Ovis aries: one gene and its partner. The protein of the gene in region 1 interacts with the protein of each later gene in a pairwise test. Links are inferred from orthologs where the notes say so. Each region holds a gene or a part of one and is shown in the gene's direction. Other genes may lie near its edges.

The links. The genes of interacting proteins can lie anywhere in the genome.
Region 2: the proteins of VCP (region 1) and UBXN2A interact in binary tests that used the Homo sapiens proteins (3 or more experiments, as listed by UniProt). The link is inferred for Ovis aries from reciprocal best matches to the Homo sapiens genes VCP and UBXN2A.

What each region holds. Positions count from the first base shown.
Region 1 is NC_056055.1:53,402,407-53,405,978, forward strand, and holds part of VCP (transitional endoplasmic reticulum ATPase), read left to right. Parts: intron 1-1,030; coding exon 1,031-1,142; intron 1,143-1,327; coding exon 1,328-1,500; intron 1,501-2,585; coding exon 2,586-2,728; intron 2,729-3,295; coding exon 3,296-3,426; intron 3,427-3,572. UniProt on the Homo sapiens protein: Necessary for the fragmentation of Golgi stacks during mitosis and for their reassembly after mitosis. Involved in the formation of the transitional endoplasmic reticulum (tER).
Region 2 is NC_056056.1:31,665,467-31,669,640, forward strand, and holds the start of UBXN2A (UBX domain-containing protein 2A), read left to right. Parts: upstream 1-1,306; 5' UTR 1,307-1,646; coding exon 1,647-1,704; intron 1,705-1,812; exon of another isoform or gene 1,813-1,999; intron 2,000-4,174. UniProt on the Homo sapiens protein: Acts to repress the ubiquitination and subsequent endoplasmic reticulum-associated degradation of CHRNA3 by the STUB1-VCP-UBXN2A complex in cortical neurons.

The sequences.
Region 1 (3,572 bases):
TGGTGTTGGGAAGTGGTTTAGGTAGTTTATTTAGGTAGTTTAAACTGAGTTCAGACTCAGGCAACCTTGATGTAGACAAGAGGGATTTGGATTTGTCCCATGTCTTAGCATTTCTTGGTTTTAACTTTTTGAACCAACTCCATGGAGTTGTGTATCTTCGCAGAGATAACCTTGAAACTCCATTTGAGCTTGAGCTTCTTTCTGGTGAAGATTCCAGATCTGATAGTGTTTTCTGTTCACTTTTTTCAAATATGGTGGTCTTTATGCTTTGCATTCCTGTGGTGCACAGAATGCTCTGGCATTCAGCAGGTTTAGCCAGTAGGAAGGGCAATTTCTAATGATTCTTCTTCATAGCTTCCAGGCTTACTCTGTGGGGCTTGGGGCCTCTCCAAGCCCCATGGGAGGTCATCTTACTGCAAGAAGATCAGCAAAGAAAGAGTTTGTGCTATGTTCTACAATGCTAATCATTCTAAACCTCAGATACCATATGCCAGACAATCATATCTCACTTAAGACAGTCCATTTTGCATTCAGCATCTCACTATCTTAAGATAGTAATCCTCTGAGATGAGTGCTACTGTAGTCTCCATTTTATATCAGCCTCCAGAGAGGTCAAATCACTTGCCCAAGATCACAGCTAAGTGGCAGGGTTGGAATTCAGACCCAACAGGTCTGACTGCAGAGCCCCTTCTCTTAATCACTATTCTATACTGTCTAAGACTATTTCCATTTGTCTAATTACTGCTCAGCCTCCACTTTTATTTTGTTTTCTTAGTTTCCTGACCCTAGGCAAGATCACCTGGGCGTTACAGCAGGGATACCATTACTCGGAATACCAAGAGTTGCTGAAATAGGAATTGTAATATGTACTTGATAAGCATTCTTGATCTTGGCTGACTTTCTTTTTGTTTGAGCTCTATGTGGGGATAACTTCATCAATGCACTATTTCATTCTTAAGTGTGAGTTTTAGAGACTGGTGGGGACGTTGCTGGAATTTGTTTTGGAACTGACTTCTTTTTCTCTTTCTAGTTCAAAAGGCGATGATTTATCAACAGCCATTCTTAAACAGAAAAACCGTCCCAATCGGTTAATTGTTGATGAAGCCATCAATGAGGACAACAGTGTGGTATCCTTGTCCCAGGTAAGTTGGGTCCACAGTCCAATCTTTGCTTATTGCATTTAACCTGAGGGCTTTTCCCAGGTTTCTTTTCTCATTTTTCTTGCAGTGACCACAGATAGAATGGGGTTTACTGGGAATCCCAACCTCCAGGGCTGCTGCTTATCCCCTGGCCCAATGACCCAAAGGCCTTAACCTTCTTTCCTCAGCCCAAGATGGATGAACTCCAGTTGTTCCGAGGTGACACAGTGTTGCTGAAAGGAAAGAAGAGGCGGGAAGCTGTGTGCATTGTGCTTTCTGATGACACATGTTCTGATGAGAAGATTCGAATGAATAGAGTTGTTCGGAATAACCTTCGCGTACACCTGGGGGATGTTATCAGGTGTGTGTGGAGTTCTTGGCCCCTCGGGGATGGGAGGCCAGAGACTGCCTGCTTTACAGGCAGTACCCCCATAAAGGCCTTGGCAACTGCAGATATTGGGAGCTTATAGGCCATGGGAAGGCTTAGGTTTCTAGGTTGTCTTTAGGTTTTGGGTCTGCCTCTGGGACTTCAAAATCTGCCTCTTCATGATCCTTGGAACAGGTTGGCATTTCTTGACTTTCTTGGTACCTTTATTTTTTTCTGCCAGGGGTCACACCATAGAACTTGGTTTAGGATGCCATTTGAGGGCTGTATCTGCCAAATAAGCTTATAGCCTTGCATTGATGGCTTTTGTCAGGGCTAGAATGAGATGGGAGTATGGGCATGGAAGGTGGACTCCTAGCAGGTTTGTATAAAGATCCAAGCTAATCGAGGTGAGAGGCATAGTTTGAGCCAGGCCTAGGATAGTTCCAGTTTGAGTGATTAGACTTTAGGCAAGAGGTTTCTCCGTCTTGAAGTCATCCCTGGCCACTGCTACCCAGGCCACTGCTACCTGTCACCTGGCCAGGAACATCTCAGGCTTCAGATTCTTTTGGGGGGGATTCTAGGTTTTATGGAGCCTTCTTCCTGGAAGTGCTTAGTCACTTTCTCAAGGTGCTCTGACCACCTGACTGAGATGATTTTTTCACATGTATTTCTCTGACCCTGACACTTGTCAGACTAAGGTCCCCTTTTGTAGTGTTGGGTTACCAGTAGTAACCAGAATGGGTCATCCTTGGATATGTCTCATTGAAGACCTTCCCTTCTGTGTCTTCGTGGGGATTCCAGATGTGTGGGTCTTTCTTTTGCCTCACCAATTGTGAGTGGGCAGTCTCAGCAGCTTCTTCTAGAGGCTCCCCCTATCACTCTACCCTGCATATGACCTGTTCTGCTTGGCTGTTGCTTTGCCCTCACTCCAACACTACCCTCTTGCCTCTCTTCACCTAAAGCCATCCCTGCCTTTTCTCTTTCGCTCGCCATCAGCTCTCTGTGCCAGGCCCTTTTGGACACCCAGAGCTTGGGGCTGCGATGTGGTTGGTAATGTGGAGTCTGCTTGTCATCCTCAGCATCCAGCCATGCCCTGATGTGAAGTACGGCAAACGCATCCATGTACTACCCATCGATGACACGGTGGAAGGCATCACTGGCAATCTCTTTGAGGTTTACCTTAAGCCATACTTCCTGGAAGCTTATCGACCCATCCGGAAAGGTGAGAAATAATTCTAAGGACTGAACTCAAGGGCAATTGTTGTAGGGATACCCAAAAGTAAACCTTGGTCCATCTTTGTCTATTCTCATACATGTGTGCATACATACACATTCTGTACATGTGTACTTTCTCCTTCCCTGCTTCCTTGCACTTCCCTTTTTCCCATTCCCACTGTTTGCTCCAGTACAGTAAGCTATCTTCTCTTGTATCTCTGAAGGAAGAGGTGGGCAATTTGGGGTGTATCACAGTCCACAGTGTATTTAATACTTAACGCAGTTCTGCTGGTGGTGGTTGTGCAAGCTTGGGTTATCTATATCCCAGAAGTCAAAAATCTTATGGGTTTCTTCCTGGCACATCAGGTTTTATTCACTGTCTTTTAAGGGGCAGAGAGACTTTTCACAATTCAGCTTTCTCTTTTTGCCTGATGCTTAATAAGATGTGGATGGGAAGGAGAAAGGACAGTATCTAGTGAACTTGGCATTCTAGATCCCAGGTTCTGATGGGGAGTTCTTAGCTTGGTCTGGTGATAGATACCTCTGACTGCTCTTGTGCTGATTGCTCTCACAGGAGACATTTTCCTTGTCCGGGGTGGAATGCGTGCCGTAGAGTTCAAAGTAGTGGAGACAGATCCCAGTCCTTATTGCATTGTTGCGCCAGACACAGTGATCCACTGTGAAGGGGAGCCTATCAAACGAGAGGTGAGTTCTCTTCCTGATCCCAGTATCCCACTTTGTGAGTGCTCAGCAAGGCAGTAGTGTGGTAGTTCCAAAGAATCCTCAGGCTTGATGGTTAAGCTACTTCCCAGAGGTGGAAAGCATAGCTATTCATTTCTGGACATAGGTAT
Region 2 (4,174 bases), on another chromosome or scaffold:
AGGGAGGAACACAGTTGTCCAAAACAAACAAAAAAGTCCTGGATTTAGATAAAGAGAGACTATTGGAAAGGATTATTCCAAGAAGAGGAAAAGAAACTACTGCAATGAGATGTGGTAGCTGAGGCAACAACCATCACTATCAGGGAATGCTATCACAGAGGCCTGCAACTTACCTCCAGGGTTAGTCAGAAAAGTGAAGTGAAGTCGCTCAGTCCTGTCCGACTCTTTGCGATCCCATGGACTGTGGCCTGCCAGGCTCCTCCATCCATGGGATTCTCCAGGCAAGAGTACTGGAGTGGGTTGCTATTTCCTTCTCTAGGGAATCTTCCCGACCCAGGGATCGAACCAGCGTCTCCCGCATTGTAGGCAGACAGAAAAGGGCCCTTCTTTTATAGGGAGGAGGAACAAAGACTTCACAGAACTGGGCATAGGGCCAGGGGGATGGATGCGTGGAGGTGGCAGTTGATCACTCAGCAGATCAGGGTGGTTTATGTGGAGGTCAGCCTACTTTTCAGTGATGGTGAAGGGGGGATTGTAGGCTAGGTCAAGCTGAGAGTGGGTCCAAGTTCTAGGAGCCTGGAGGAAGGAGAGAATCTTAAGTTTGGCCAAAACAAGGTAGCTGGTATTTTGTCCAGATTGTCAGTGGGCACAATCAGTAAAGACAATCAATCATGAAGCAAAGAGAACGGCTATTTGGAGGGTCTATGTCTGACCTTGTCATGGGTAAACAAGGGGACATCCGTGAGTCTGAATAAACCGCGGGGGGAAGTGTGGTTTCCTGTTGTCAGACCTTCCAGGGACACGAAAGGGTCGCGGGGGGACGGAAGGGGCGGGGGGTGGGTGCTTTTAACCGTTGCTTCCCGGCATCTCGGGGCTCAGGTAAAGTTCAACATGGTCAGGATGCAGGGAAATCTCTCCGCAGATTCAATCAGAGGCTGACGAAGTACACAGGTAAGTTGGTGCTGAGTTCTGAGATGAGCCCACACCTAGCTCCCTGCGTCTTCCGCGCCGAGTGGAGAGATAGGAAGCAGCAGCGTCCGCAGGAGGAAGGAGGCGGCCGCCATCGGCGCGGGCCACTGGGCGAGCCGCCGCCGCCGCCGCCGCCGCCGCCGCCAGCCCCGCCCCCGCGCGCGCGCTCGGGTCTGCGCAGAGCCAGCCTCGGCGCGTACTCGGCGCCCGGCGGCGTTGACCGAGGGAGGCGCGCGCGGTTCCAGCGGCCCGGCCGCCGAGCTCGACTGGGCCTGGGGGCGGCGGTGCTCCTCATCTGAGGGGCTCCAGCCCGGCGGCGGCGGCGCCTGCGGCCCCTGAGCAGACAGACCGAGGCCGCGAGGCGACGGCGCGGCGCGGCCCCCTCCAGCGGCCGCGCCGGGAGGTGAGTTTCCCGGAGCTCGGCTGGGTGAGGGGACGGGCCGGCCGCCGGGCGGGGCCCGGTGGATGGGTTGGATGGGTCTGGCGGAGCCGCCTTGCCCCGTCTTAGTCGGAGCTCCGGTCCGCGACCCCGAAAGGGCGCAGTGGGGCGGCGGGCGGGGCGGACTCGGGGCCCGCGCAGGTGAGGCGCGGCTCCGGGGCCGCCGACTCCGGGCACGCGCCCCGGTGGTTTTCTCTCTCTGCGGGCGCTCGGAAACTTCGAGTTCTCTGTTCTCAAAATGCAGACTCGCAGCGCAGAAATAAAGCGCATGTTTGTGTGGGGTGGACCTTTCTTAGGTAACTTCATTAGTTGGCTCTTAAAACTCACTTTTATTTTGTAGACTTGATGGTCTCTCTTTTCCTACTTAATTTCTTCTTTTCCTCTGTGTCCATTTTTATTTGCAGTTTGTTGCTTGTTAGCAATAACGAACGTTAGTGTGGTTTCCAGCATTGGTTTCTTCGTACTCAATCTGAGATCATTGAAAGTAAAGATAGGAAACTGGCAGCCTCTACTAATGTGGGATTGTAAAATGGGATCGATTTTATAAGCGACGTGAAAATCAAGCTTCCTTATTTCATAGTCGTGGCTCAGGTGTGTTTTGGTTCTGTTTATAAGGTAAAGTTAGAGACAGGCGCTGCTGCTGCTGCTAAGTCGCTTCAGTCGTGTCCGACTCTGTGCGACCCCATAGACGGCAGCCCACCAGGCTCCTCTGTCCATGGGATTTGCCAGGCAGGAGTGCTGGAGTGGGTTGCCATTGCCTTCTCCAGAGACAGGCACTGGTGGAATCCAAAAAATGAATAAGAATTGTGTGCAGAATGGAGGGAGTAATTAAGCACACAACAAAAGTGATGCAAGGCAGAAACTACTACGTATTGAGCACTGACTTTTAGCCCTGCGTGTCGTACTTTACATGAAGACTTTAATTACGGAATATTTAATGCTAATTACTAAATTTATCATTCAAATGTTTTTAGTACCTATTGTGTGCTGAGTGCTGACGCTATGACAGTGACCATTATACGTTTGTGCAGTGTCATTGGAGGAAACGAATAATCACACAAGTAAATGCCTACTTACCTAACTTGTTTTTCCTATGCTAAGTCATATCCGACTCTGCGACCCCATGGACTGCAGCAAGCCAGGCTCCTCCGTCCTCTGCTGTCTCCCAGAGTTTGCTCAAACTCCTGTCCTTTGGTTAGATAGTTATCTAACCATGTCATCCTCTACCTAGAAAGAAGCTGAAAAGAGGGAATGTTCGGTGTTGTGTGAGCATATAACCGGGGACTGAAGAAATCAGTTCAGATTTTCCTAGGAATAGGTCATCTTTGAGCTCAGTTATTATGGATAAGTAGGAAATTAGGTGAAGGAGATTCCCAGTACTGGAGCTCTTTGGACCCCACACCCCACCCCTGCCCCCAGAAAGGACACCAAAACGGTTTCAAAAGGAGGGAAAGAAAGATCCAGGCAAAGGAAATCAGTTCCACAAAGACTTGAGAATGTTTGGGGAACTGAAGATCAGAACAGGTGAATTGAGGGGACTGTGGTTAGTTCGGGCCAGAGAGATGATGTGGGGCCTTTTAAATAATGTTAAGTTTTGGGAACCAGTTTTTTCTTTTCTTTTTTAAAAAATGTTTATACCAAAACTTTCAAACTTTTCAAATGTAGTGAGAGAACATTGCAGTTAACTCCTTGTCATGTTATCCAAGGTATTTGGATCTTATTTGAAGAATAGTGGGAGGTCTTGATGCATTTGAAGCAGGAAAGTCTCATAATCAAATCTGTATCTTAATCAAAAAGGTCACCCTGACAAAAAACAAAACAAACACAAAACAACAAAAAAGAGAATTCCCTGGCAGTCCAGTGGTTAGGATTCCATACTTTGACTGTCGAGGGCCTGGTTTGATCCTAGTCTGGGAACTAAGATCCCGTAAGCTGCTTGTCATTAAGAAAAAAAAAGATGTCACCTTGATTCCTGTGTAGAAACTGAATTGGATGGGAACAAGAATGGATGTGGGGAAACCACCTAGAGAAGATGGTACTAGGGTTGTGGTTGTGAAGGTAGGGCAGATTCAAAAAGTACGTAATTGATCTCTCCTTGTTGTGTTAGTAATTCTATATTCATGCCTTTTGGAGGAATCGTGGAAGGTTTTCTAAAGGAGATTGTATTTGAGATGGGTTTTGCAAGGGAAATAACAGTATGGAGCCCATTCTGGAATGAGAATATCTTGGTGTCAAAACAGTAGCTAACTCAGGGATCTGGAGGGTTTTTTGCAGAAGTTTCACCTTTCTCCTAAGATTTTCTCATTGAAATTACTTTTGTCACTATTGTTGTGGTCCTTGTGAGCGTATAACTCCCTCCTTAACAATTTTTTCTATTAATAGAAGATAGCAAAAATGTATGTTCTTCACTACTGGGATTACAGCTAAGCTAAGCTAAAACTTTCCAAAAGATTTCATTTTTTAAATTGTTATATACATAATAGTTAATAAACTAGAATTCACAAAATATACAAATAACTGTCTTACTAGTGTTTGAATCTGATGCTGCCATAGTTTGCTCTTGGTGGCCTAATCCTATTCTGTGGAAGACGTAACTGAAACGTGATCCATTGGTTTCTTTTCCTTTGTGCTGAATGACTTTATCCTTAAAGGAGAAACTAGTTTCTGCATAGCATGCCTAGTGGTACAATATCTTGATTCAAATTAATAATCTTTAAAAAAAAATAGCCTGTAGTATGTTTTTAAAAATAAGTAAAATTTGTAATA